Arabidopsis thaliana: one gene and its partners. The protein of the gene in region 2 interacts with the protein of the main gene of each other region in a biochemical or structural test. Each region holds a gene or a part of one and is shown on either strand. Other genes may lie near its edges.

Region 1 (9,436 bases), on a different chromosome or scaffold from region 2:
ATGTTGTCGCTTTGTTCAGATGCTGAAAATGAAAGGTCAGAGTGCAGAGAAGAGGCGCGATATAGCGAGCTTGAAAAAGAAAAGAAAGGAAGAGAAGATAGGTATATATTTATATAAGTCTGATCTTATTGATAACTTGCTTTCACTGATGTGTCCTTCCTTAAACAGATGTTTATGATCTTGCGTTGTCCATCTTTCAGGTCGGCGTGATCAACGAAGGAACCAGAAGAAACAGAGAAAACTAATGGCTTCTTCTTAATTACGTCTGGCTTTTTCCAAATTTTGTTTGTCAAATCAGATTTTGACATTATTATAAGAGTTATAAACCATCAATTGTAAAACTAGTGTACGTCACTTCTTTTTATTTTTTAAAGAACGGTTTAATCTCCTAAATCTTTGATCAACTAGCTCATGTCATTATTATAATTTAGTTTAGGGGATATTTAGATGAAACTCATTTCAACATTGGCCACAAACGAAATATGAATATGTTGGACAAATCAGACGGCCGAAATATAAACGCGTAAATCGCAAATTTTTGACAAATCCATAGATTTAAGAGCTACTACATTCAAGAGTATAGCCATCTTAAAACTGTTAAAACGCCGAAAAATATAAAATAAACTGTTATTGCGCCTACTGATTTAATTTGAGAATCTCATTTACAAAAACAGCACAAGCTATCACAACTTTACAATCCAAAATAACAAGAGATATGTCAACTAACTTAACTGACATAAACTATTTTTACCTTTGAATCTGATCCGAACTTGAGTTGTTAGCCGCTGATGAACTAGACGGCCGTCCATTTTCAGTCCCTGCTTTATCTGAACCAGCTGCGACGCCAACACCCCATCTTCTAGAAAGTTCTGATGGCTCAATCACTTTAACCGAACCATCAGACAGTCCAACCGCTAATTGATTCGGTTCTTGTGGATGAGCTGTGATCACCTGTGGGAAAATCGGTGCACTATCACAGAAGAAAAAGAAAGCATAATCAGTCCCAAAAAATCACAATGGTCAGATGGATGATATAAACTTTATATGAAGTTTGTAAAATACGGTACCTGTTTGGTGTAGGTTGAGGCATGTAGGCTGATGGGGCAATGCGGCATCTGAGTCTCAAGGATTCAGCATCAAAGACTGCAATGTTTCCATCAGCGAATGACGCGTAAACCAGTTGGCTGTTGCATGAGTAAGATGCAGAGGTTATGGGCGAAGAGAGAGCTTCTTGGGGCACCCACTGCACAAGGAATGAGAATTTAAGGTTTCTTATAATCATTCAAGATCTCCAAGTAAATACAAAGATTTTTTACGATACCTTATGAATGCATTCCATCTTCGAAGCATCGTAAATGGCGAGCTGTGTCTCATGTGAAACCAATAACTGGATTTGGTCGTTGTGGAATTGGACTCGTGTGTCGCCTACTGGTGCTTTGCCAGGTGGTAGCTGTATCGCTGAAGATTTCTTTTTCTCCCACGAGTCAGCGGTCCAGAAGAAGAGCTGTAATAAAGAGAGTTAACGAGTCTGTTAAGTTACAAGCCAACATGGACACGAAAAGCTCCAATAGCATCTAAGAAACATGAATTTTGTCTTACCTGAGCATCGGCACCAGAAGAGACAAGAATATTGAGCGCGGTAGAGAATGCTAGACCAGTTATGTGCTTCTGGTGACCTTTCAACTTTGTTTTCACCTATAGATTAAAAGAGATTACATTACAAATTCATTTAAGAGATGAATCAGCAGTTACACCAGTAAAAACCAGTAGACCGCAGAATAGAACAAATGTACTATACCTCATCTACCCTGACGTTGTAAATATGTATACTCGAGTCCTCCATCCCGATTGCAATAATATTATTATCTTGAGGATGAAATGCCAAGAAAGTTGAAGCTGGTGGCGGTGGCATGAAAGTTGTCATTACCTGCACGAAAGGGAAAAATGCATTTAGCTTCGCATATTACTCAAATAGTTTCATTAGCTCCTGAGGTATCAGTATTTAGGAGATGCTCCCGAGAACAGAAAAAGTTGGATTAAGCTGCTTACTTTGAAAGTCATCATATTGAATAACGAAACCTTTCCACCACAAGCTGACATTACGTATGAGTCATTCTTGGAAAGTGCTATACACGGAACACTCCCTTCAGGATTCTCGGGAACATCATTTGCCATTAGGAGACCGCTGTTTGGCTGCCAATGCTGTGGAGTTACACTAGCAGTTGCCTTCACAATAAAAGGACAAAATTTCAGACACTTATGCAAGAGAGCTTCAAACAAGTGACTCAACAACTCACATATATCAACAAACCACATGAGTGTAAAATTTGAAAGGTACAACGAATCACCTTCCCAGTTGGATTTTGCTCATTGCGGATCCACTTCCATAGTCTTTGAACACCATTTGATCCAAGAGCCAAAACACCAACGCCAGAATTTGTGTAAAGAAGCCGAGCAACCTTAAGGATTGACATAGCAGCAAAAGATTATTTCAAGATAATTATTAATGAAACAGAACAATTGATGGGCAATTTCAAGCTAAGACGGTAACAAACCTTGCTAACAGAGTCCTTGCTATCTGGCATTGTCACTTGTCGGCACTGAGTCGGATCAACAATTTCTGTGAGCTCTAAAGGTTTAGACTTATCAACAGAGTCCAAGTTTCTTGGCTTTTCCATAGTTCTTGACATTGCCTCAATTCCATTCTGCATAACACCAACAGAGACCACATATAAGGATTCTTATTGAAATAGGAAAAAATATATATATATATATTGAAAAAGATATACTAAAATTTAAATCATACAGGAATTGGGGTTGGCCTTGCAGGAGAGCCTGCGTCCATGTGTTCAATTTTACCAATAGCGGGGCTGATGCTTGAAGCCATTGCGGAGGTGGATACCTGAATCACCGGTATTGACACTCGAGTTAAACTGGACATAAGGCATGAGTAATAAAAATATTTCATGGATAACATAAAGAGTAATTATTCCAAGACCTTCATATCAATGGATGCTTTAGATGCTTCAAAAGACCGCGCTTCAAATGCTCTTAAGGTTCTGAGACCATCAGTATTTGCAAGGATCTTGAATCCATTATCTGCTGTAGTAACTGCAAGAAGATTCCCATCCTTGTTGAATCTCAATCGGGGTAGATTCTGAAATAAACGGTACATAGCATCAGTAAAGTAACAGGCTCGAGAATACAAAAGATTTTATATACAAGTAGCCAAGAGGAGTATTTTGGGCAAGAATGTCATACCGGAAGTCCACCTTCAGCCTCAACAACTGTCAAAAGATTTGTATTGTCCATGTTCCAGAATTTTATTTGATTGTCTTCACCAACAGCCAAGAAACGGTTACGGGTTGTATCAAACTGAACAACTCCAGCTGATTTCTTCCTAAAGCCTAAATATGTCCTCTTTAGGGCACCTTCACTCTCATTCCACTCGACGAGGAAAGAGTCTCCTTCTTTACTCGTCCCACAAGAAAATAGTCTGAAATCATAGCAGATATTTACTTGATAATGATATGAGCCTATATTTTGTTCAGAAGATTTCAATTTATGGCAGAGACATAATTTTGTTATACAACTCCAGAGCTTTTCAAATAACAATGATGTACCTGCTTCCATCAGCACTGTAGAGCATTGTTGTACACCACTGTCCCGGTGCGTCATAATCAACCCGAGAACCAACATTATCATAGAGCCACGCCTTGATCTTTCCATCAAGAGCGGTTGAGAATATAAACTGCATAGTAAAAAAAGAGAAAAATAAATTACAAGACAGCGAAAGGGAAAGTTTTTCAGGTCTTTTTAAACAAGAGATGCCTGCACCTGAATATTTTCCTTCTGGTGAGGGCAAATGGAATAAACTGGTGCCTCGTGCCCTTCAAAGGTGAAGAGCTTCTTCCCACTCAAATCCCACACCTAGGAAATATCATAATTAGACACGGGATAATAAAACTGAGTTCAGAGTCATCATAATCCTAACGTACCTTAATCAATTTGTCATCCCCACAAGTCACAACACACATTTGCTTATTTGGGTGGGCGAACGCCAAGTCATTCACACAGCCTACATGAGCATCAATCTAATCCACAGAAACAGATGATCGATTAAGTTTGGTGCAGATGCAAAGGCAAGAAACTAAGTACGAAAAGACAATTAAACATACCTCGAGGTGTTGACGTAGGTCTGAGCCTTGGTAAGCATATACATGGATCAGATGTTTAGTAAAAGAAACCCCTGTACATGGAAAATGTTACAAAGTTCAAACTTCGTGTCTACTTGAAATTACAACTATATATCTTTAAAACGTTTTTAGGAGAACAATCTCCATCTACCATACCAAGCAAGTTTCCATCTGGGCTCCATGCTACACGAGTGACGGATATCGATGGCTCTTTGACTATAGAACCCTGGCGAGAAAATGCCCGCACAACAAAATCATAGTTTATTAGCTTAGTTTTAAAGTATAGGATAGAACAGAACAGAACATAAATCACTCAAGGCTGGATTAGCTTAGTGTTAAAGTATGTTTCTAGATAATTTATCTTTATCAAGAAAATAAGTAAAAACGATGGAAGAAGAGAGAAACCTGGAAGATCACAGAACAAGCCGCCATATTCCATATCTTGAAAGGTTCTGTGACAACCTTTTCTCTGGATCCAACTTCCCACAAGGTGACTTCGCCGCTTGAACAACCAACTACGAGTAACAGACATATTATAACAAGAGCCAAATAAAAATCTCAACTCTACTAAGCTTTTCATGGTAGCAATGGACTAACCAGCGAGCAAAGTGTGATGAGAAGGGTGAAAATCCATGCTTATCACCACCGACCCTTGGCGAATTGTACTCACTACATTTCTAGGGAGGTCATCAAGTGACGCAGGGGGATGAGAATGAGCAGGATATGTGACCTGTGATTTGAAAAGTAGAGCCATCTACTCAACATCAAAGCGCACATTCCAAAAGCAACAAGAGTTTTGTTTGCTAGGTAAGCACTAAGCGTTTCAAAAACAAGGAAAACCTGAAGGCAATTACCTCGTTGGATGTTTGTGCAGACCGTAAGCGTTTCATGAGTTGCTCGTGATCAGCACTTTGATAATCCATTAATCCTAGAGAGTTAGACGGTGCCCGAGGGTGTTTCAGCTCATTAACTGTTGAGACGAAATACAGCAATAGAACTTCAGGTCTTAAAATTCATTTCCTAAAAACTCTAATATCACAAGTAAGAAAAAAAAACGAAAGATACCATAATATCCAGACACTTGTAAGTTGTGACATAAATTATACCTTGACTTGGCTGCATAGGAAATGGGGAAGCAGCGACAACACCAGATGGAACTGATGAAGAAGGATTTGGGTTTGCCATCCATCCAGCTAAAGCATTGGCATTAGGAGCCGGAGCAGGATTAGATTGAAAGGGCTGCACAGATACAGTTGTTTCATCAACCCTCAAAATATGAACATTAAGTTATATAATAGAATGGGTGGAAGTTAAGTAAGTGATCCTACTCCACCATGCACTCCAAGAGGAACAAAGTTTGAAGGTCTTGCAACAGCAGCAACTGGAAGATTGACAGGAGTGAGTGCACGAGCACCGTTTGATGGTGAGCAAGAGTGATCCAAGAACAATGTCTTGATGTCAGGATTAGGCCTTGGATTTTTACATAGCTGATGCTGCCAGTTTAAGCTGCAATGTCCCAAACACACTTGTCATACACTTTAACTAATCTCTATAAAAAAAGGAAAGAATTATGACTCCTCCTAGTTCACCTTTGATTGATCAAAGTTCGCAGGCGAGAAGCTTTGAAACTGGGGAAGGCTAGCTTCTCTCGAAACAGAGGATTCGCCTCAATCAATTTCTTCAACTCAGTATACATTATAGACCTTGCAGATTTAGTATCACCATATTTCGACAGTTGCTCATTTTCCCTAAGAAAAAAACACACTCTTCAACATTATCGTAACCACCTACCAAAACTTCAATAATATCAATGGCAAAGTAAAAAAAAAAAGAAACCTAAAATTCTCCAGAGTAAGCAGCTGAGTAATCTCCTTGTAAAGCTCCTCGTTAAATGTAGCGAAAACTTTCAAGTCTTTGGCTAATATCTCAACAGCTTTTGCTCTGTCATTTCTGTAATAAAAACACACAAATGTATCAAATCAACAACACTAGTCTAAATATCCGACCAAACAAGAAGAGAAATCATTACCGATCTAGAGCTTCGAGATACTTTTGCTTCCTAATCTCAAAGAAGATTTTCATAGAGTAACGATTATCATCGACTTTAGTGAAACCAGAAAGATACTTCTCCACTTCATCCCACTCTCCAGCAAGAGCTTTCTCTTCAAAGTACTTAATGTTAAAGAAGAAGCCAGATTCTTGCTCTAGCCTACACATCAACCAATTCCAAATTATACCCAAAATTACGCAGAGAAACCAAACAAGCACACAAAAACGACAAAGCACAAACTTACTTGTGAACAGATTCCTTGAACTTCTCCTCATCTAAGAACTGGAGAATTAAGAAAACTAACTCTCTGCTCAAAGACGACATTTTTTCCTAAAACTCTCAGAAGAAGAAATTCAAGGAATTTAAGCGATCTGGGTTTATCGTGAAAGAAGGGTAGGTCAAAGTTTGCGAAATCGATTTAGTCGTAGTTGAGAATGAGTTTTCTAGGGTTTCAAGGTTGCATTTCCTCGCGTCGCAAAGCGAACATTAAGAAAAAGCTGACCCCAGAGATGCTACAAAATTTCTATTTATATTTTTTCATTTAATAAAAAAGGAAAAAGATAAAGAAAAAAGTACGACTTGTTCTCCACTTTCTTCGATGCGTTTTGTCACACAGACTGTAGTTTGATAAGTTAACTAACTTATCATTGATAAGTGCTTTCGTTGTCGTATAAGTTGATAACCTCGTTTGGTTAAACTGTTTGGTCTGATCCCTTAGCTTAGGGTTTTTATCTGATGCGGGTGAGCCCACCGAAAGCAGATGTGGGATCTCAGAGTATTCTCCGTATCTGAATTGTATTGACACTTGTCGCGCTTGTGATGCATTTTTAGGTGGGGGTGCAAAGTAGTGGATTATAAACCCTTAGGTGGGTTACGTCACGCGGATTCGAAAAATGGAATTGAAGTGAATTGAGCAGAGTTTTACTGGCGTCCGCCACATGTTGTTGCCTTGTTAGGGGGAATGACGTGGTCTCGATATCTGCGTCTATCTCGTAGAAGTTTTCGTCAGAGCGTGAGAAATACGAGATACTTGCTCAGCTAGAGATTCTCGTAATAATATTAGTTGAGAGCGACTGCTAATGGCTGCGACCAAATCCAGCCAATAATTCTTTGTTTGATCGATATTATAATTAGTCTAATTAAATTATGTACGCAATGCCATAAACAAAACATATGAACATATTTTAAAAAACATTTAAAGTGTGACTGATGGATCATCTTAGTTTTTTTTTTTTTAAGTAATGATTTTCATAGTGTTATAAACATCTAAGAGAATTCATCATCAATTAACAAATCTAAGAGAATTCAAGTCCTAACAATACTATTGGTCAAAAAGTTCATGATTATGTTTTCTCCTATGTTTTTGGAGCATATGAGGATAACTAGAAAAAACAAGGTTACTGTAACCATTTTTATGTATATAACAAGACAGAAAAGAAACTTGAAATTTAATTACACAAACTCTCTAATGTTTCCACATGGTGCTAATCATTTGTTTTTGCTATACGATCAAATACAAAAAATGTATTGGTCCCACATTAAGAGGCCGACTTGATAACTGAAGCCCAGGTTTAGCCCAGTGAGTTGTGTCTTCAATTGCTGTTACATATATAGCCGGAAGGTACGAAAAGAGTTGTAGAAGCTTTGACCTAACTTGGAGATGAGAGATTCAACAATGGCGATGTCCGATCTTCCCCGAGATTTGGAAGAGGAAGTGCTCTCTAGGGTCCCGTTAGCATCTCTTAGAGCAGTGCGAACTAATTAATCGAATATGGTTGCCTCGCTCTTGACATAATAATGGTTTGATCATTAATTTGTATGTCAGACCATTATTATTCACTTAGTATGTAATCTCTCGTTGGCTCTTCCAATATTTTTTTGAAACAGCCGAATACATCTTAGACACTTTTTTCCTTAGAAGCTCTCTTTAGCATTGCTATTTAGATGAAAATAAAGAAGTTCTGTATTGTCCATGATACAATTGTTGTTCTCTTTGCATATGAAAAACAAAAAAATGACTTTATAACATGTTTGTGTAACACATGAGCTTGAAAGCAAAGGAAATAGATGCTTTTTACCAGCTACCAGAATTGATATGTCCACTCTCTTTAAATCAACATATCGGGTCCGATTGGTGACCTATAAATGAATACAAGGAATGAAGAAGAACATGACTAAAAAAGAACAAACAGGAAAAGAAAAAATGATAAAATAGGAATGAAAAGGAATGGATATAAAGGAAAAATAGAACAAATGTTACTGTAAATGATAACCAAAACATAGAATAAATAGTAACAAAAATTAAAAAATAAATAAATTATTTTTCAAATTAAATATTAAATATAAAACGAACATAAATTTAATTTTTATTTAATAAATATTTAATTTTTTTTCCTGTTTGTTCCTCATCAAATTTGGGAAGGAAAAATTTTCTTCTACCATTCCTCAAAAAATAAAGAATGATTAGGAATATTGTGGGGTCTACATATTACAATTTGGAAAAAAAATACTAATGATGGTGAAAAAAAGAGGAACAACATGTTGTTCCTGTGCATTCATTTTCTAAATAATGGTCACTAATAGGACCCATCGTATGATCAATTAATGAGATTCGCTAAAAAAAGTCCACTATTGAAAATCATATGTCAAATTATTTAAATTAAAAAAGCAATTCAAGGAAATTCAAGATATCAAACATAATAAAATCTATATCTTAAGTTAACTCAGAAAATATAAATTTTCTGTTGCATACCACCGGGTGTGCCCTAGCTAGGCAGAGAAAAGAAAAGAGTTTTATTTTTTTTGTTTCACTGCTAAAGGTAACTTGATTTGTAGTATGACATATAACATATTCAACAATGGCGATTTCAGATCTTCCTAGGGATTTGGTAGAGGAGGTGCTCTCTAGAGTTCCGGTGACATCTCTGAGAACAGTGCGATCTACTTGCAAAAAATGGAACATTATATCCAAAGACGAGAGCTTTACAAAGAAGCACGTTGGTCAAGCAAACGCAGCAGCAAGGGAAAGTGAGTTTCAGGTGGTAATAATGACGGAATACAAAGTTTATCTAATGAGCGTCAATCTCCATGGCATTCAAAACAATGTTGATCCATCTATAGAGTTTAAATGTAAACTTATCAGCCTAGATGATTCAGATCGAATAGGTATATCTCAAGTCCATATCTGTCA
Region 2 (6,580 bases):
GCTCCAAAAATTCCCAACGAAATGGAGAAAATGGCCAAAGGATGGTTTCCGATGAGCGGCACTAGTAGCAGCGGAGATCAGCAGCAGCAACCGCTGCAAACAGGAGGAACGTCTCTGCTAGCTGATTGGAATTCTTACGCAGCATCGAGAGATTTTGAAGAAGACACCGGAACTTTAGGCTTCGATATCGAATCCGCCGTTAGATCTGCCAACGACACTGTTTCCGGCACCTTTAATGTGTAATCCATCCATCTCTTTCTCTTAATCTTTAGGGGTTTAACGATTGATCGTGACCGTATCTGAGAAATTAGGCGTTTTCGCCTGCTATTGAGGATTGGATTGGTGTAAATTAAATCTGGAATCTGAGAAATTGTGATTAACCATATAGTTTAAGCTTTGCCAGATTCGTTGATCAGATTTACAAATTCTCAGGGTTTGAAGCTATTGTTAGTGAATGATTTTGATTAGTGTCTTCTCTCAATGACTTAGAATTGATTAAGAGTCTTAAGCATATCTTTTTCTTGAAGTGTTACTAACTTTTTGATTTTGAATTTTGTTGTACTCAAATCTGGATTGTTAACAGTGTTTCGAAAGGAGTTAGAGATAACCTGCAGTCTGCAACAAGTAGTATGCCTTCAGGAAAAGCTTTGATGTATTTCGGTTTACTTCTAGCAAGTGGTGTATTCTTCATCTTCATTGCCTTCACCATGTTTCTTCCAGTCATGGTGCTTATGCCACAGAAGTTTGCAATTTGTTTTACCCTTGGATGTGGATTTATCATCGGATCTTTCTTCGCTCTTCGTGGCCCGCAAAATCAACTCGCTCACATGTCATCGGCAGAGGTAATAACTAATAACAAAACCTTGTGTTGTGCAGCTTCTTATATCTGCTGTATTTCGTTTACATTTTTCTCTTTGGAATTTTAATTTCTTGTTTGCTGGCTTCTCCAGAGGCTTCCACTAACTTTAGGTTTCATTGCCACCATGGTTGGCACCATATATGTCTCGATGGTGCTCCATAGCTACATTCTCTCTGTGATTTTCTCTGCATTACAGGTACTTAAATTTCATCTTCCTTCCCGACTCTTGTTGGTGTTTATATCCTCTGTTTTTCATATGTTAAAATTTTCCTCTTCCCCATTTCACAAATCTTACCTATGAAGTTCTTTTTTACCCTGCATGTTTCATCTAGTAAGCTCTTGCCTCGTCGAAACATAATGTGTTTAGTAAAAAACATGTAGACTTTCTTATTGCTGTTTTAAAATACAAGTTGGGTTAGTATGAATTATGAAGAAGCCTTGAACGCCATATCTTTGGTTGGTCTCTTGGCTTGTTTTTGCAAATGCACTTACTTGCGACAGAAACAGCTTTGATATATTATTACTCACCCGTTATCGATATGGAATATATACTTTAAGAACTCACTAAATCATATCCTTCATGTCGGTTTAAAGATTAGTCACGTATCTGCACATTCTGTAAGTATAGTAATCTCATAAAAAACCTGGTCTCTGTTCTCTGTGAATCCATAGGTTATTGCACTGGCGTACTACTGTATATCATATTTCCCTGGTGGATCATCGGGAATGAAGTTCCTCAGTTCTACTCTTACCTCCTCTGTCTTCCGAATGTTTGGGAGATGAGCTTTCGCTTTGACCTATGCAAAGAAAATAACTTGATTCTCTCGTGTATAAAGAAAGATGAAAGATCTTCAACAGTGGTTAAATGACAAATCTGGTAAAATATGTTGGTCCAATGGCTCAAAGACAGTTTTGTTATAAATTTCCTATATTGATACTTTCTGCTAAATTGGTTCAAAACTTCAAATCACTAGCCACTGGATGAGGTATGGAACTTGAAGAGTTGCTTGGTGGATACATTCTCTAATCTAGGGTAAGTCGTTAGCTTCAATGTCTTACTGTGAATTATTACATCAGAATTAAGAAAGTTATTACACGTATGTTTTCACTGAGTTTACTACACTGGCAATGTGGCATACATCTCTTACTGCAAATTGCAGACAAGTGGTCAATCAAATCTTTTTTAGTTGGGCCCAAAATGTCTGTTATTGGATACGTTGGGCCTTAAAATGGCCCCCATCAGTCAAAAACATCACTGCTTGGAGAAGGATCTAGAAAAACTTGCAAGTTAGTTCAAACAAAATAAAGGAAAAAGAACGATCTAGAAGAAAGAAAAAAAAAGGAAAAGAAACCCTTATGGAGGTTCCCACACCACTCTATATATAATAACATCCTTCTCCTAAATCCCGCATCAGTACTTCTCTCTGCTCTCAAGATAATTTTGTTCTCTCAATTTCATTCTTAAACCCTAGTTCTTCGATTTTTTCCGATCTACGACAATGGCGGACGCTGAAACCTTTGCTTTCCAAGCTGAGATCAACCAGTTGCTTTCCCTCATCATCAATACCTTTTACTCTAACAAGGAGATCTTCCTCCGTGAACTCATCAGTAACTCTTCTGATGTACGATCTCTATCTCTCTCTACCTTATTGTATACTTGTGTATCTCGTTTGATTGATTTGGCGGATGGATCTGTAGATTTAGGTTTGGTTAGGGTTTAGTGTTCTTTCCGTTGGGAGAATTTTGGTTACTTACTGAAGTTGCGAAGCTTTTTGTGTACAAATCTATTGTTTAGGTTTAGTGTTGATACCAAGGATTTAAGTAGTTTCTTGTTAGATTACCAAGTTTTCGATTGCTTATAGTTGATTTGCATACATATTATGTGTATTGTTTGCTTACGATTGTGATTCTATTCTGGTGAAAACAGGCTTTGGACAAGATTAGATTCGAGTCCTTGACGGACAAGAGCAAGCTCGATGGTCAGCCTGAGCTCTTCATTCACATCATTCCCGACAAGACTAACAACACCTTGACCATTATTGATAGTGGTATTGGCATGACCAAGGCTGGTACGTAATTGATTTCATCCTAAATCAATTTGTTTCGATTTTGTTGTTGTTTGTTAGTCTTGCATCTGTGTTTGTTTTGTTGGCTAATTCGTGCTTCTTCTATTAGATTTGGTCAACAACCTTGGAACAATTGCAAGATCTGGAACCAAGGAATTCATGGAAGCACTGGCTGCTGGAGCTGATGTTAGCATGATTGGTCAGTTTGGTGTTGGTTTCTACTCTGCTTACTTGGTTGCTGACAAGGTTGTTGTTACTACCAAGCACAATGACGATGAGCAGTACGTGTGGGAGTCTCAGGCCGGGGGATCTTTCACTGTGACCAGAGACACCTCTGGGGAGACTCTTGGTAGAGGAACAAAGATGGTTCTTTACCTCAAGGAAGACCAGTTGGAGTACCTTGAGGAGCGAAGGCTTAAGGATTTGGTGAAGAAGCACTCTGAGTTCATCAGCTACCCAATCTCTCTCTGGATTGAGAAGACCATTGAGAAGGAGATCTCTGATGATGAAGAGGAGGAAGAGAAGAAGGATGAGGAAGGCAAGGTTGAGGAAGTTGATGAGGAGAAAGAAAAGGAGGAGAAGAAAAAGAAGAAGATTAAGGAGGTTTCTCATGAGTGGGATTTGGTGAACAAGCAGAAGCCTATCTGGATGAGGAAGCCAGAGGAGATCAACAAGGAGGAGTACGCTGCTTTCTACAAGAGTCTCAGCAATGATTGGGAGGAGCATTTGGCTGTGAAGCATTTCTCTGTTGAAGGACAGCTTGAGTTCAAAGCTATCCTCTTTGTTCCCAAGAGAGCTCCTTTTGATCTCTTTGACACTAAGAAGAAGCCCAACAACATCAAGCTCTATGTCCGTCGTGTCTTCATCATGGACAACTGTGAAGACATCATCCCTGAGTACCTCGGATTTGTGAAAGGTATTGTCGACTCTGAAGATCTTCCTCTCAACATCTCGAGAGAGACATTGCAGCAGAACAAGATCCTCAAGGTCATCCGCAAGAACCTTGTGAAGAAGTGCCTTGAGCTCTTCTTTGAGATTGCTGAGAACAAGGAAGACTACAACAAGTTCTACGAGGCTTTCTCTAAGAACCTGAAGCTCGGTATCCATGAGGACTCCCAAAACAGAACCAAGATTGCTGAGTTGCTCCGTTACCACTCAACCAAGAGCGGTGATGAATTGACTAGTCTCAAGGACTACGTGACAAGGATGAAGGAAGGTCAGAACGATATCTTCTACATCACTGGTGAGAGCAAGAAGGCTGTTGAGAACTCTCCATTCCTTGAGAAGCTCAAGAAGAAAGGTATTGAAGTTCTCTACATGGTTGATGCGATTGATGAGTACGCTATTGGTCAGCTTAAGGAATTCGAGGGAAAGAAACTTGTTTCTGCAACCAAGGAAGGTCTGAAACTGGATGAGACCGAAGATGAAAAGAAGAAGAAAGAAGAGCTCAAGGAGAAGTTTGAAGGACTCTGCAAAGTGATCAAAGACGTTTTGGGTGACAAGGTCGAGAAGGTTATTGTTTCTGACCGTGTTGTGGACTCACCGTGCTGTCTTGTAACCGGCGAATACGGCTGGACTGCAAACATGGAGAGGATCATGAAAGCTCAAGCCTTGAGAGACAGCAGCATGGCTGGTTACATGTCGAGTAAGAAGACAATGGAGATTAATCCAGAGAACTCCATCATGGATGAGTTGAGAAAGCGAGCTGACGCAGACAAGAACGACAAGTCTGTGAAGGACCTTGTGCTTCTCCTCTTTGAGACCGCTCTTCTCACTTCTGGTTTCAGCCTTGATGAGCCAAACACTTTCGGAAGCAGGATCCACAGGATGCTGAAGCTTGGACTGAGCATTGATGACGATGATGCTGTTGAAGCCGATGCTGAGATGCCTCCCCTTGAAGACGATGCTGATGCCGAAGGTAGCAAGATGGAGGAAGTCGACTAATTTATCACACAAAAGTCGACTAAATTATTAGCGGTGTTATAAGACTATGGTTTTCTTTTTTTCTTTTCGTTAAAACTTATGTTATTTTGGTGATTATCTTCACGAATTTTTTCTATGGTTTTATTGTTGTGAAGATATTTCTCTGAACTCGGTTTTATGACAAAGATTCTATTATGCTCAAGAGACTGATTCTTACATATCCAAGCTGAATTTTGTCAGGGTATTAGTAGTAACCTAGTTATGATTATATCTTCCTAATTAGAATTTAGAATAACAAATTATAAGAAAATAGAATAACACAGAGATCATATCTTCTGGCATACATATCTTGCTGTGAATTATATTGCATCCGAATTAGAAAAGTTGCCACAGTTAAATTGAAATGTTTTCACTAAAAAAAAAAAAAACTACGCTGCCAATTGCCAATCTCTTGCTGCAAAGTGCAAACAAATGGTCAATCAAATTTTTAGATGGGCCCAAAATGTCCGTTGTTGAATACTTTGGGCCTTAAAATCGACCCATCAGTCAAAAAGACTCGTCAATATTAGAGACTGGCTTTTTTGATACAAAAGATCACCCAATAATGCAAGATTAAGCCTAAATTTATTATTTTGTCCCAAAAAAAAAAAGCCTTAATTTATTAATGTAATCAAAATTAATTAAGGGAAACCCCACACTGCTTTTGCTCTCAAAATTTGACCGTTAGTGGAGACTTATTATATAATACCACGAACTTGGCGTTAGTGCAAGTGAAACTCTTTAGTCTTTAGTTAAAACTTAAAAGCAAAGGCTATGTTAGGTTAAGACAACGGAGCCTATTGATTAACTTATGTAATTTCTTTTCAATAGTCGTATTTTCCTCTCTTTTTTTTTTCTTTTTTTTTTGGCACCTTCCTATTTTCTTACCAAATTATTATTGTTCAGTATTTTGTATATAGGAGTAAACTGAGTGATTACCATGATTTCAGCTAATATTTAACGATTATACTCACCTAATTTACAGTTAGCTAAACTGAACTTTCTAAAGCATCATATATACCCAAGCATGTATTCATATTTGGGAAAATTTTAGACTAGCAATATACTCATTCAGAATTCATATAAAGTTAATTTGAGGCATTTGATGTAAACAATTATTGATGTACTTTATTTTATTTTTAGACTTTAATTAGAGTTTAACTAATGTGAGCGAGAAACCCGAGTCCTGGAAATACGGAAGAATATTTGACCCTTTAATTTACACCTTTCATCACACGTAATATCATCCATTTTATATTATGATCCACAAACAGCAAAGGCCCATTAATCTCATTATATTTTAGATTAATTGATTGCAATTGCCCAACTTCTCCACTCAGCAATGTTAGTTTTAAAGACACATCAAGTTAGTGTATTTTATTTTTAATCTTTCTATAAAAAACAACACTTTGTTTTTGTCTATTTCTTATTCTGTGAAAAAGAGAAATGAAAAAGTAAAAAAGATAACAAAAAGGCTGGTTTTTCACGGTGAGAATTTTTCATGGTCACGCAATAACTTAAATATGAACTATTAAAATAACTAAGATTGAAAAATTAGCATGATCAAAAGAAGAAGAAAAAAAAGACAACATGAAGCGGAAAGGAAAAAAAAGAAAGCTGAAAATCTAATTAACAAGATTGCGGAAAAGGATTAAAGGACGAAGAAAAAGAGTGAAAGGTGAATACATATATA
Region 3 (7,727 bases), about 20 Mb from region 2:
AAAGAAAGATCACCTATATATTGAAGAATAGTGTAAAAATAAAAATGGTTGATATTATAGGAAAAAGTAATTCACAAAGAGTCAATGAGAAAAGATTTCAAATGCTTGACAAATTCCTTGGACTTCTCCAAATTCACAGCATGTCCTGCTTTCTTGATCACCACTATCTCTGCACTCTCTCCTATATGTCTGTTTCACCATACAATTATTATAAACACATAAAAAAATACAGAGGGTAATCTCTATAGTTAATATACATGTTGTTGTTTACCTTTTTAATCTGTAACCTAGTTCCAGTGGAAATATTTGATCTTCTTCTCCCCATATGATCAACGATTTCTAATTCAACCAATAAACACACACATACACACAATGTTATAGGAACTGCGAAATTTACATAAGCAAATTAAAATCCGAATAAAGGTTTGTACCTGTTTGATCCTAGGAAGATCAGAAAGTCTCCTATCTTTGAGTATTGATTTGATCAAATCTCTCTTCTCCTCTACAAACTCCGTACACATTACCTTTTCAACATTTTGAACAACATTTCTCAAAACTCCAACATTTATCAACAAACAAACAAACAAAGACATTATTATAAAGGAAAAAACTTACATCGATAAAATCCCAGAGAAAAAACGAAGGAACACCTTTGATTGGTTTAACGAAAGAGAATCTTATGAGTTCCTTAAGCTTTTCCGGCGTCTGAGGAATCAAAATTCCGGTAGCTTCTTCTAGATTCGGCACCTTAAACAATCCGTCCTCCATATCTTTCTCCTCCAAACAAACCCCTGCGCAGCACAGCACAAGCTTCTCAACGTTCTCCGGAAACTGCGCCGCTAAACTATACCCAACGAATCCACCGTAACTAATCCCGACGATGTTCATCCTCTGGACTCCGTGCGCTTCCATTAACCTCATCAGACACCGAGCCTGGAAAGATTCGGTTCGGTTTGGTTCCGATGTGGATGATAACCCGAAGAAGAGGAGATCGGGAACGTAGACGTTGAATCGGCCGGTGAAAGCTCGGAGATGTTCTCCGTATTGCCACATTGCGTTGGCGCCGAATCCGTGGAGGAGGAGGAGATTAGGTTTAGATCGATTCGGGGATTTAGGAATCCAACAATGCATAGCTGTTGATGCGATTGAATTGCCGTGGGAGAGATCTGTCGTTACGGAACGTAGACCGGCGTTTGCGAATGATTGCCGGAATAACCAATCTCGCGACGCCGTGAAGCTGAAGCATCGCAGCAGTTTCATATGATCAAACATTTTTGATTCGAATAATTCAAAAATGAAACAGAGGAGAAGATACGGAGGCGTGACGATGACGAAGAGGAAAAAAACAAACAACGAATTCAGTTATTTGTCGAGAAATTGATTGTAAACGTGTCATTTATGGGTCCCTCCGTGTAATTTAAGGAATTACAGTATTGGACTTGGGGGAAATTGTAATTTACGTAAAAGACCGTTAAGAAAACAAAGAAGCTAAAAGGACCCCATAAAACTTTTCAGATCAAGTAATTAGAGGTAGAAGTTTTCATCCCAATCTGTACACATGTCACAAAACCACTAAATTATTAGTCTGTTGAAACCGGAGCAAAACCTTTCCTTTTTAGGGTTTTAGATAAGTGAAAAGATAGATTGGTGAACAAGAGAAATCGAGTAATAATCCTTTTTAACTCATATGTGTTTTCGGAGTCTCTTCTCAGCAACCTTTGCCGTCTTGTTCTGTGGTTCAAGGACCAATGCGTGCCTGAAATCTGCAGAGATGATCAACCATAATGTTACGCTCCAATACCCTACTAGAGAGAGTAACTCATCTGGATAGCTAGATGAATTTTATCTTTTAACAAGTTTCTCCAATGTGATAAAATTACAATCTCAGAGTAGTTTAATCATCATACCTGCAGCAGCTTCCTTGTACCGTACAAGTGATTCTCTAGCAGTCCCTCGTCTCAAATATGCCTTCACATTCTGTAGAAACAAATAACTATTATAAGAATCAAAGCTTCCAAATAATGCGTCATTGTGTCTATAGTGAGTGATCTGAGTGATAATGAAACTAGATAGTCATAGTACAAAGGTATTACGCCGCAAATCAAATAAATAAAAAGTGAATAGTTTTGTTCCAGCTCAAGTGTACTTAAACACAAAACCATGTTAAAAACACAATGTAACAAAACAAACTACGAGGGATGGAGAAATAAGGCAGCTAATCAAGTTTTCACCTTCTTATCGATCAACATGGCCTTGGTACAATCTTGTTCGGCTTGTTGGAAGCTATAAACAAACTCTCAGATCAGAAAATCATAATAAATTATATTCAGATCAGAATGAAAGATATGAAGAGAACAATTACCAGCAAAGTTCCAAGAAAGCTGCAGCTCTATTGCAATAATAAGTAGCATTTGCTCCATTCAATTTTATAGCTTCTGTATAAAAGTTTACCGCCTTATTCCATTGTTTCCCCTTGTATGCAGCATTGCCCTGGAATTACATTTTATCCACTGTTAACTTTGAGAACATTCCAACTCCAGTAGCATATCATGGATCAGAACCAAATATACTATTTGTCAAACTCAAAGAGATAGTTTTACCTTTTCTTTCATAACTTCAGAAGCCTCCATGTTACCATTGGTGTCAGACACTGGAGCTAAGTTGGATGCAAGTTTGGCTTGGTCTTGAAGGGATGCATATACATCGAGAGTTGTATCGAGAAGGAACTTATCACCTCCATAGTAAGTAAGAAGCGACACGGATATTGGACGATCACCATGTTCCCCTAAAGGAATTGTAACCTGAAGAATATGTATATATTTGTGTCATGACTAAAGACTGAAGAGTAAGGAAAAGGCAACAAGAATGTTCCCCAACCATTGAATGAGAAAGAGGAGATGGAAATATACCTGACAACATCCAGACATGCTTGCAATGCAGGAGAGTGCATAAGTACGATCAAGAAACTCATTCAAAGATTTATTTCTCTTTGTGTTAAGCCTTGGAGGGGGATCAGCAACTGTGGGGATTACCAGAATTCCATCTTCCTAGTAATAAGATACCGATCTATGGTTAATCATAATACCATAGAACTAAAAAGAAGCCGCAAAAATGAAAGTTAATAATTCAATCTCTTCAGACTTCAGTGTTTTGGTGGCAAAATGTCCTCAAGACACTAATGGCTGTGAAAATTTTAAATTTCCAAAAATCGAGTTTACCTTTAAAAGGCTTTGAATGGTGGCCCGCATCTCATTTTTCACTCTGTAGAGGGATTTAATGCTCTCGTTTTTGCTCTTCAGAGCTGTAACAACATCATTGGAAAATCTTGGCCCTAGAAACGATTTGCATGTTTGCCACCATTCTTCATGATTTGTTTTGAACTCATGCCTGGTAAAAAGAAAATCCTTTCTTCTTCGATATTTGCATATAATACAACTTAAGAAGAAAATAGTAACCTCCAGCAAAGAGGGAATAACAACAATCTTTTATTGCACCCGTTTAAAAGGAACGAGAGAGAGAAAAAAGTATTGATGCAGTGAAAATTTCAAGAAGTGTGAGCTTCTTAAATACCTTTGTATAGCCAACATCACAGATGAAAGAGCCCTTAAAGTTGATGCTGAATTTTGGGATTTCCCAGATTGCTCACAGAATTCCGCAAGACTTGGTACATTTGAAGCGACATATTGGCCAACGTTAACATGTTTTGGAGTCTTGTCTGCATGAGCCAGTGGTCAAGAGACATAAGATATGAATCTGGAGAAGGGCAAAGAGAAGGAAACAATACAGCTGCAAACTTACAGCCAGATAGATTCTCGATTGCCTTTCTGACAACTTGCACCGACTTTTGCTTAGGAATGTCAGAGAGCTCGAATAAATCATCAGCAAAGATTAAAGATCTTTGCCTTCTATGTGTTACTGCACTCAGATTTAGTAAGGCATGTCCAACTTGACACAAAACGGATGGATCAGAGGCAAACCATCCTACAGAACGAATCAATGAGTTCAATAATCAGGAAGGCAAACACCTAGAGTAGCATGTACCATTGAAACTACACTAAAAACACTAAAAGGGAGGGGAATGTAACGTACCAACAGTCTCTAGGCTCTGAGAATTGGGCAAAACTCCAACTGAAGAAACAGTCCCCTGAGATGGTCGAAAACCAAGAATACCACAAAAGGCTGCTGGGACTCTAACACCACCAGTGGTATCAATCCCTGCAAATCAAGCATCTTTTGATTAGCATAAAGAACCAAACGTAATCCAAGAAACACATTACCAAGAGAAAACGAAGAGATTAACAATACCAAGTGAAAAGTCAACGAGTTCAGCCCCAACAGAAACTGCTGAGCCACTGGAACATCCTCCAGGAACATTATCTGGCATCAATGGATTAATAGGAGTTCCATAGTGCTTGTTTTCTCCAATAATCCTGTAAAATCACATTCAAAACACAAACTTTCTTCAAACCAACTACCGAAAGGTCATTTCATATGCAGAATGGTAGGAGTGGAGAGATACCCAAAACCCAGCTCATCCATTATAGTCTTGCCAACACAAGTAGCTCCATTTTTCAAGAGCGTCGTGACAACCACAGCAGTTTTCTCAGCAGCCTCATGAGTCTTCTTCCATTGTGGACAACCAAATCCTGTGATATAATCCTTAACATCGAACCTGTCAAACCATTAACCCCGATATAACTTTATTCATTTCATTGCAACATGACTTCGTCTAAGCAAGTCAAAATCTCAATTAAACCAAACAAAAGTTTTGAACTTTATAAGCGAGATCATTATATAAAGCAGGAAAAAACAAATTTGAAAATAGGTTATGATTTTTAAGAGAGAGAGAGAGAGAGAGAGAGAGAGAGATACATACGCGTCGGAGATGGAGAAGGTAAGACCAGAGAGAGATTGTTTAGCAGCAGGAGGAGGAGGCGGAGGGAAAGGAAGAAGCTCGAAACGATCTAAGAAAGCACCAAAGTCTTCTTCTCTAAGGGCTCTAATCCGCCGCTTCCGGGTCTCCGCCAGAATCACGATCCCGGCCACCGTCACGCCGATCACTACCCAAACTTTGGGATTCGAGGCATTGCTTTGAATCAAAGAAAGCGTATTCGACATAACGCGATCTCACGAGAAAGAGAGAGAGAGAGAGAGAGAGACAAGGGTTTTAGGAGGGTTTAAGAGAGAAAAGGGGAAAGAAAAATAGGAGAGAGATTTGGAAGAAGCAAACACAGATGCTATCGTGCGCACTGTGTCTAAACCCTTTTAATTACGAGTGATGACTTGGCCAGCCGTGAACTCAAGTCCGTCTGCCCAAGGCGAATCTTCTCTTTTTGATTGATTAATAATTGTCTTTACGAAATCGATAAAGAAATTAAAAAAAAAAATTAAATTAAGAAAAATGGAAATTTTAATTTTAATTCCTTTATTTATTAGAATTACTCGTTTCAATTTTTTTTAATAAGCTTGTACAAATTGATTTAGGTTTATAATTTCTTTTGTTGGCCATTTCTTCTCTTAATGAACTTTTCCACTCGTGGAAAAATAGATTTTAAGCTAGTCAAGCCACTAAAAACCTCAATATAATAATGAAAAAATTAAAATATATACTGCTATAATTTATTGTTAAGTTTCCATTTTCTGTAGCCTTGCCCGTCAATCCAATTTTATCTTCAGATTATAGGAAAATCCAAGTTAAGTTTTTTTTATAGCTTTAATGGTTTACCAATCCAAATTTGGTAGATAAAATGGCATGTCGACCCGGATTTATAACCTTTAAAAGTTAGCTCAATATCATACTACCATTCAAATTTAAACTATAACAATATGACTGATGTATGAGTTTGACCAAAACAAATATGATGTATAAATTGCAGAAAACAGCTAATAAAGAGAAGAATATTCAATACGGATACAAATATGAATCAGAGTAATCCAACACTTGGCTATATAATATTAGCAGAGAAAAGCCAAATGAACAAATAAAAAAGTTATATATTGTTAAGACGAAAGAAAATAGTGAATAATTCTATTTCAATCCAAGTAATAAATTAAGCGGTAAATATCAACTATGGTATTTACAGAGAAGAAATAAAGTTAGAAAGTAAAAGAAGGAAAAATGAATACGAGTCAGAAAGTAAAATCAAGGAGAAATAGACATCATCAATGTGTCATCGTTCAAAAGAGACTCAATGTCAATAAAATCGTCTTCTTCACAGTTGACTGCTTCTTCTTCTTTATTGTTTATAGATGCACTTGATGAAGCCTGCAACAACAATTTATCACAAGAATGCTCAACAAAATATGATTAACTGATTATGTTATGGGTCTTGGGTACCTCATTTTCACGGAAGCCCTCAACAACCGTTAGGAGTCTACGGTATTGATCCCGTGCTTCTGGGTATTGAACCATCGACTTAACACGAGTCAGAGCCTTCTGTAGCCTTTCCTCTGTTTGTTTTCTTCCCTCTTTAAGATAATCATACTCATCTTCCTGTGGGATCCTAGGACATATAGCTGATACAGGCGGTTCCGGTTCCACGGTTTTGGCGACTGCATTGCGTTTAAACCCTCTCAAACCATTACCTTTGCGTCTCCAACGCAAAATGATTTTCTCGAGTAATCCCACAGACCAGATGACTGTTCGGTATTGTTTCCGGACCTGATGTCCTCTCACATGAGCCTAAAGGTAAATGTAATATGATTCCAGCAATGAGAAACCAGACAAAAGACTTATGCAAAGAAATAAGGGGGAGAAAAAAAAACTCAATGAAAGGCAAACCTGAATTTTAACGATTCTTTGTCGGATTAAAAGAAACTCTTTTCTCTTCTTCCAACCACGATATTTCTTCTGGATATGGGTAGCAGCACAACTAAGAGAGACATCACCCTGTCCTGGATTCTTAGTTTTAGAAGCTGCAAAAGAAACAGCTAACTGGTCGGAGATATCAATCTTTTCATCATCGCCAATATCACACAGCTGTTTCCGTTGGAATGATTGCATCCTGAATACTTGATGGAGACGATCAGCCGCTTGCGTAGCATTACGGACAGCAGTAAGTGAATCCTTCAAGGAAAGTTTCTCTGGTACATCGCCATAGGTCATAGGAGCAGCGGTTCGCTCAGAGACTGTTTGAACAGCTTTTTCTCCACAAGAGTTGGCAGGGCTATTTTCCTTTGAGTCCACTGTTAGCTTTTCAAGATAACTAGTTAAGGAAGACTCTGCAAGAAATCCCGAAATTCCCCTGTGTCCATTTGCGTAAGCCAAATCAGCTGCTGTTTTACCCAATGGAAGCTCTGGAGATGGATCCGTTAATGCCCCAGCATCAGCACCTAGAGAGACAAGCACAGCGACAGTTTCCTCCCTATAGTTAACAGGAAAAGGAGTTAGTTTGATATGGCAATGTTGACCAAATAATAGAGTTAAAGCATCATCAATGTGAGCATCTTAAACGAAATGCAAAATCTCAAATAATAATATTATGATTAAAGGAAATTGAAGATATGTGAGATAGAGGTCCATACCTGCCACTAAACGCAGCCCAATGAAGGGCAGACCAGCCATTGGCATCACGGAAGTTAATGTTAACTCCTGCTGCTAACACCGGTTTAATGGCCCAGTCATACCCAAGCGCTGCAACAAAGTGTAAAATACCCTGTCCATCTTCATCCAATATGTTTGGACCTTTACCCTCTTCAGTCACTTTATGTATGAGCCATATATATAG
Region 4 (5,809 bases), on a different chromosome or scaffold from region 2:
CAAATGTGAAAGCAATGTTGGAGGTTCAGATTGCTAGCATTAAGAGAGTGGGTATAACAAACTATCTGGTTGTTGCTTTGGACGATTACATAGAGAATTTATGTAAAGAGAACGATGTTGCGTATTACAAGAGAGATCCAGACAAGGACGTGGATACTGTTGGGAAAACTGGAGGTAACCATGCTGTCTCTGGATTGAAATTCCGTGTGTTAAGAGAGTTCTTGCAACTCGGTTATGGTGTTCTTCTCTCGGATGTGGACATTGTCTTCTTGCAGAACCCATTTAGTCATCTATACAGAGACTCTGATGTGGAGTCAATGAGTGATGGCCATGACAATCATACGGCTTATGGGTTCAATGATGTGTTTGATGAACCAGCCATGGGATGGGCTCGGTATGCTCACACTATGAGGATATGGGTTTTCAATTCCGGGTTTTTCTATTTGAGGCCTACAATTCCATCAATCGAGCTGCTTGATCGCGTGGCAGATAGACTCTCTAAGGCTAAAGTGTGGGACCAAGCGGTTTTCAACGAGGAACTGTTTTATCCTTCACATCCTGAGTACACTGCGCTACATGCATCCAAGAGAGTCATGGATATGTATGAGTTTATGAACAGTAAGGTCCTTTTCAAGACTGTAAGAAAGAATCATGAACTGAAGAAGAAAGTGAAACCAGTGATTGTTCATGTGAATTACCATCCAGATAAGCTCAATAGAATGCAAGCCGTCGTTGAGTTCTACGTTAACGGTAAGCAAGACGCGCTTGATAGCTTCCCCGATGGTTCTGAATGATTCACCTGAAAAGCAGATAGGCTAAAAAAAACTTTCCGAGTTTCTTGACATTTGTGATTCTAATATATTTCTCCCTTTTCCAATGTTTACTGCTTCATGCCTTCTACTTTCCTCTTTGTATTATGAATTTTTGTGTATCTTATGGCTAAAATCGCAAGTCTTTTTTTTCTTTCTTAACCTCTCTGATCTTGTTATTACATCCCAAGTCTTTGTTTTAGCCTCACTTGTTTTTCTCTGTTTCATCATCCGATATATAATTTACATTTCAAGCCACTTAATCATGTAATATATTTGTAATGTTTTCAAGACCTAAAAGGAATGATAATAGAAACATACATCTTAAACATTCTATCTACAAATAATGCGTTGTGAAACAAACTCACTGGTACAATGAATATCGATTCTAGAACAAGAACCAAAACCATGAACTGAATGAACAACACACTAATTCTCATTCTCCAATCCTTCCTTCCGACATGACATAACAGGTTCATGTATACTTCATCTCAACTATGAGCTTTACCATTTCCAAGCGTGAGCTCTAGATCCTCCATAGCCACATCATGGATCCTCTCCCCTTCCCATGGCTTAACTTGGCTGTTCTCAAACTTAAACTCGGAGCTTTGACCAATCTCTTGGATTGCTGCTGTGTTTGGAGACAATTGCTGTGGTGCAGGTTTCACGAGATTGAAGGTAGGCGAGGTTGGCACCATAGAGGCAGAGAATGGCTGTTGTTGTGCAAACTTTTGAAAGCTTATCCAATGACCAGAATCAACAGTGGAAGAGTCAGACTCATCACATTCAGGTATAGTAGCCGGAGCATGGAACTGGCGATGATGAGTAGGACTGGCAGGTGCAGACACCGCATAAAACGGGTAGTTCAAAGAAGTCATTGACTGTTTAGCAGCCATGGACATGGATTGTTTGGTAAAAGATTCCCAAGTAGGCAATGGTTTGGGGTTTCTAGAAGTTGGGGATGACACTGGTGGAGTGACAGGAGCACTGTTTGAGATTCTAAGTGGAGGAAGCGATGAAGGAATACCACCATTCCTGAGGAAAGGGAAGATTGTGGAGATATTGTGTGGATCACCAACTCGAGAAGGACTCGGGAATGAAGAAGAGGAAGGACTGACTTGGTAAGATAAGATGGGGCTATCAAAAGTGGAAGAAAGAGGACTTTGGTTATGGGAAGAGTAAGGAGTTGCTCGAGAAGATGATCCAGCCATGTCACCAGGTAGAGGCTTGTGTCCCTGTTGCTCATAGAACAATACCAAAAACATCACAATGTCACAATCAATCAAAAGCTAAAGGAGAGATCTAAATATAGTAACCAAGTGAAAGTAAAGCTAATTCGGTTCTCAAATTAGTAAGAAGAACCCTAAAGGTCACTTTCTCCGCAAGGAATCTCGATCCAATTTTAGAATAAAACTGAGCTTCCTCAGCTAAAAACCTCGAATTCATAGCCAAGAAAATCCCAATTTGACCAATTTCAAATCCAAATCTTCAGATTCAACAGCTAAATCATCAGATAACATCAGATCTAAGTAAAAATGCGTTTGATACTGACCTTGCGATAAGTAGTTCCGTCTTCTTCAACAACCCAACCAGCTTCAGAACAAAGAGCCTTAAGAACCTCATTGTTGTCACAATGTTTTGGAAGATTGTAGTTACCTTGAGCTCTAAGACCAGTATAAATCTTCGCCGCAACAGCTCTTCTCCGCCGCTCTCTTCTCCGATTGTTCTCCCTCTCTCTCCACGACGGTTTCCTCCTCGTCGCCATCGCTGCTGCTGCAGCTGCAGCTGACGTCGACGTTGCTCCGTCAGACGTCATCTTCTTCCTTCAACTCTCAAAACAATCCAACCACGGTTAAAAATGGAAATGGGTATTTGGATTCAGCTGAAGAAGAAGAATGAGTGAGAAGTTAGTGCTCACGAGGAATACGCTTTTTTTTTTCTTTCTTCTTCGCTGGAATTATAGAAGAATCTTTTCATTCATTATTTAAAATAAAAAAGCAAAAAGAATTCACCGTTGATTTGAGTTAAACCAGCCACGTGTCGATGATGAATGGTGAGGATAGGTGGTGGTGTACGTAACTTACAGTGTGGTTTCGCGTTTTGAAGAAGAAGTACGTTTTATGTTGTGTTTCTCTAAATCTGTGTAAGAAAAGGAGCTGATTTTATAAAGAGGAGAAAAAGATAGAGAGACATGTGGGGCCATTGTAATGAAGTGGGTCCTACACGAGTATGACCGGAAAACACACCATCTGATTGGTTTATGAGGGGATCGGCCATGTTAAATAAGAAAACAAATTGTTTTGAGCCTCATAACATTTAATGATTAGATTAATTTGTCACTATAGTATATGGATAAAAATAAAATAGTGTTTCACTATAGTATGAATAGAAGAAAATGAGTGCTTACTTTTGTCCTGACTGTTTATGTATCATGTGTTTATTCTTTAATTTTATCACATTACAAAATTATTTAGTAGATTATTTGTGAAAACGAATATACGTAAAATGGAGTGATACATGGTTTAGATTAAAAGTTAACTAAATAAACCCTTTATGAAATAGTATGGTTTTTTAGCCTTTACTTTCTATCGTATACGAGGCAACAAACTATAAAGACTCAATACATATGAGGGGAGACACTACGTACAACTAGTAAAATACCAAACCGACGGATTATATAGATTTCCAAAGAGAACTCGAGTGGAGAAGCATGGACGTGTTTGGATGTATAATTGGTATATTCAATTGTACTTTCGTAATACTTATCAACATTTTGAACTAGAAGCTCCGATCTTAGTGACAACTTGCGTTTGATAACACATGCTGATATAGTGATTCACTACTACATTTGAGATGGATTGTGTATATCAACATGACGGATGGTCAAGTTTCCGAACCAAGTTGTCTGAAAGCGAAGTTTAAGTCCTAAATTAAGTATTTGACAGTGTAGTTTGTTCATTCTATACTCGTGATATGCATTTTGTTGCGATGGTTTTGGTTTATTATTTCTTCCACTTGATGTTTTTCTTGAATAGTGGATGGAAATCGTGATTTCACAAAACTGTGTGATTGATAAAACAAAACATTCTACATCATTCTACTACTTCAAAATTTACTAAAGAGAGTCGAAAATGGAAATGTGAGGATATTCACACAACATTATTAAGTCAAACTGGAAAGCTCTATATTTGGAAATATCGTTAATTTTGTTTTGTGATTTGTAAGCATATTGTTTGATTGCTATAACAATCAGAGCCTATAATTCGGAATTATTGTTGGGACCTGCTCTTCATTGGTCATGATGATTTTCTTTAATTCTCATGTTTTTTTTTTTTTGACAATTGTATAGTTCATTGAACACAAAAGGAAAACTGGATAGTGGATTTGCCCCACAAATAGACCCATCAAAGCAGATATGATCTTCCAACGAGTAGTCACTTATTGAATTTATATTTAACACGCTTTTGCCTTTATTTTATTCATATTTTGTTGAAAAAGAAAAAGAAATCTAGTGAATAGCAGAATAGTGATACTAATATAGTATGTAATCTTACTGTACTGATAATATATTTAAATTTTATCTGAAACATCATCTGTTTATGAAAGGAAAAGGAAAAAGCTTACTAAATTGATGGTACAGTTCTGAGACAAAATAATCTTTAGTAACACTATACTTTTTTCAGGCTTACTCTAGTGTTGTCTTCTTCAAACGATGTCGTTTGCGATGAACCGAACCTTCCACTTCTTTCCAAGGGTTCTCTCCTAACTGTCCCCAGCTTGAGAATGAGTCATAGAGAAAAACGATCATGAGGGCCCAAGCCAGCCTTTTTCTTGGTTACACCCTAGGGAATGCGCCCACTAAACTTTCAAAAAGTATCTCGAGTCCTGAAAGTGAAGCGGTTCGTTTCCCCAAGAGGTCCATCCGGCAGCCATTTCCCTCGCAAATAGCTCAAGGCACCGAGCAGGTTGAGACCCGGGAGTGTGTTTCAGTAGTATATCTACACAAAGTCCAAGTGGAAACAAACAAGAATCAGGGGAGCTTTAGACCAAGAATTTGAAAAAATTGCATTATCTACTCTTGAATTTGATGAAGCCAATCGCAGAACAAAGCTGTTGAAAATATAAACATAAGAATACCTCCAATTGGGGGTTTCCTCGAAAAATCACCAGGGATGCTCATGATTATCTGGTTCTTGTCCAAGAGTTTAAAATCTGACCTCTTTTCTGATCCTGCAAGCTATGACATGTATACACAACATGGCTGTTCAAACAGAAGTTCCTTTCTCAGATTATTCAAGTGACAAAAAAATGAATTGACTTACTTCGGTAAAATGGTAGCCTAGTAGAAGGTACTCATAAGGTTTATGATGGACCAGGTCCAGGTCGCAAATCAGTGTACCATCCGGTTTCACCTGAAACATTTACATAGCAAGTATGTAAAATGTCAAGTCATATGTGCAACTCAGAAACCAAGATGGGGACTGAGAGCTGCAAGATGAGCTCACCTTTAACCAATACATTGTAGCTACATACTTAATTCCCCACGCAGGGAATAGCTCTTTCTCAACAAAACTTAGTAATTTCTCTCTATTTGTCACCCACAAAGCCACGAGAGCTCCTTCAGCATGAGCAAGCTGCTTGATCGGAAGAGATAAGAAGTATTGGTTCGGTAAAGTAGGATACCTAAAACAAAGAACCAAGAAACATTGGTCATGAACTTTCAGATACAAAAAATACTTATCCACATGCATACATTAAGTAGATAACGAACTTTGATTTCTGATGAGCACTTGCATTTTCCCAAGGCGGATCAATAACTATAAGATTGTAGCCTTCTTCAGATTTAGCTGCATATATGACATCAATAAGACTATTACATCGCCTACCGATATGATAATGACTGATCTTTTCTCACATGACTCAGGACCAATCAACAAGAACCAGAATACTCTAAAATCTCAGCTTTTAGCAAATTATCTATAATGGACAATAGCACAAGA

What was found.
Region 1: the proteins of HSP81-2 (region 2) and TPR2 form a complex in vitro, tested with the Arabidopsis thaliana proteins (one study listed by BioGRID).
Region 3: the proteins of HSP81-2 (region 2) and TOC64-V form a complex in vitro, tested with the Arabidopsis thaliana proteins (one study listed by BioGRID).
Region 4: the proteins of HSP81-2 (region 2) and BES1 form a complex in vitro, tested with the Arabidopsis thaliana proteins (one study listed by BioGRID).

The regions. Positions count from the first base shown.
Region 1 is NC_003074.8:5,728,843-5,738,278, reverse strand, and holds TPR2 (TOPLESS-related 2), read right to left. Parts: upstream 6,761-9,436; 5' UTR 6,571-6,760; coding exon 6,491-6,570; intron 6,406-6,490; coding exon 6,226-6,405; intron 6,147-6,225; coding exon 6,033-6,146; intron 5,945-6,032; coding exon 5,786-5,944; intron 5,703-5,785; coding exon 5,525-5,702; intron 5,436-5,524; coding exon 5,303-5,435; intron 5,167-5,302; coding exon 5,051-5,166; intron 4,927-5,050; coding exon 4,794-4,926; intron 4,712-4,793; coding exon 4,602-4,711; intron 4,423-4,601; coding exon 4,353-4,422; intron 4,250-4,352; coding exon 4,179-4,249; intron 4,095-4,178; coding exon 3,999-4,094; intron 3,931-3,998; coding exon 3,838-3,930; intron 3,752-3,837; coding exon 3,624-3,751; intron 3,497-3,623; coding exon 3,262-3,496; intron 3,158-3,261; coding exon 2,999-3,157; intron 2,903-2,998; coding exon 2,807-2,902; intron 2,706-2,806; coding exon 2,556-2,705; intron 2,460-2,555; coding exon 2,349-2,459; intron 2,227-2,348; and 13 more. Other genes in the region: AT3G16840 (P-loop containing nucleoside triphosphate hydrolases superfamily protein), read left to right, coding at 20-101, 201-259; AT3G16820 (F-box and associated interaction domains-containing protein), read left to right, coding at 9,105-9,411. UniProt on the Arabidopsis thaliana protein: Transcriptional corepressor. Negative regulator of jasmonate responses.
Region 2 is NC_003076.8:22,684,565-22,691,144, forward strand, and holds HSP81-2 (heat shock protein 81-2), read left to right. Parts: upstream 1-2,267; 5' UTR 2,268-2,358; coding exon 2,359-2,568; intron 2,569-2,786; coding exon 2,787-2,928; intron 2,929-3,034; coding exon 3,035-4,869; 3' UTR 4,870-4,907; downstream 4,908-6,580. Other genes in the region: AT5G56020 (Got1/Sft2-like vescicle transport protein family), read left to right, coding at 22-239, 584-842, 951-1,055, 1,532-1,642. UniProt on the Arabidopsis thaliana protein: Molecular chaperone. Involved in RPM1-mediated resistance. Component of the RPM1/RAR1/SGT1 complex. May stabilize RPM1 and protect it from SGT1-mediated degradation. Associates with RAR1 which may function as co-chaperone. Possesses ATPase activity.
Region 3 is NC_003076.8:2,925,707-2,933,433, reverse strand, and holds TOC64-V (translocon at the outer membrane of chloroplasts 64-V), read right to left. Parts: upstream 5,262-7,727; 5' UTR 5,119-5,261; coding exon 4,877-5,118; intron 4,673-4,876; coding exon 4,520-4,672; intron 4,431-4,519; coding exon 4,306-4,430; intron 4,216-4,305; coding exon 4,090-4,215; intron 3,982-4,089; coding exon 3,799-3,981; intron 3,716-3,798; coding exon 3,571-3,715; intron 3,388-3,570; coding exon 3,219-3,387; intron 3,048-3,218; coding exon 2,910-3,047; intron 2,802-2,909; coding exon 2,601-2,801; intron 2,491-2,600; coding exon 2,363-2,490; intron 2,284-2,362; coding exon 2,232-2,283; intron 1,978-2,231; coding exon 1,908-1,977; intron 1,764-1,907; coding exon 1,684-1,763; 3' UTR 1,413-1,683; downstream 1-1,412. Other genes in the region: AT5G09430 (alpha/beta-Hydrolases superfamily protein), read right to left, coding at 72-189, 272-339, 432-524, 616-1,272; EICBP.B (ethylene induced calmodulin binding protein), read right to left, coding at 6,143-6,265, 6,338-6,682, 6,782-7,364, 7,525-7,727. UniProt on the Arabidopsis thaliana protein: Chaperone receptor mediating Hsp90-dependent protein targeting to mitochondria.
Region 4 is NC_003070.9:6,685,657-6,691,465, reverse strand, and holds BES1 (Brassinosteroid signaling positive regulator (BZR1) family protein), read right to left. Parts: upstream 2,932-5,809; 5' UTR 2,787-2,931; coding exon 2,728-2,786; exon of another isoform or gene 2,633-2,727; coding exon 2,362-2,632; intron 2,045-2,361; coding exon 1,301-2,044; 3' UTR 1,055-1,300; downstream 1-1,054. Other genes in the region: RRA3 (Nucleotide-diphospho-sugar transferase family protein), read left to right, coding at 1-794; AT1G19340 (Methyltransferase MT-A70 family protein), read right to left, coding at 4,668-4,807, 4,947-5,046, 5,132-5,221, 5,315-5,492, 5,581-5,656. UniProt on the Arabidopsis thaliana protein: Positive regulator of brassinosteroid (BR) signaling. Transcription factor that activates target gene expression by binding specifically to the DNA sequence 5'-CANNTG-3'(E box) through its N-terminal domain.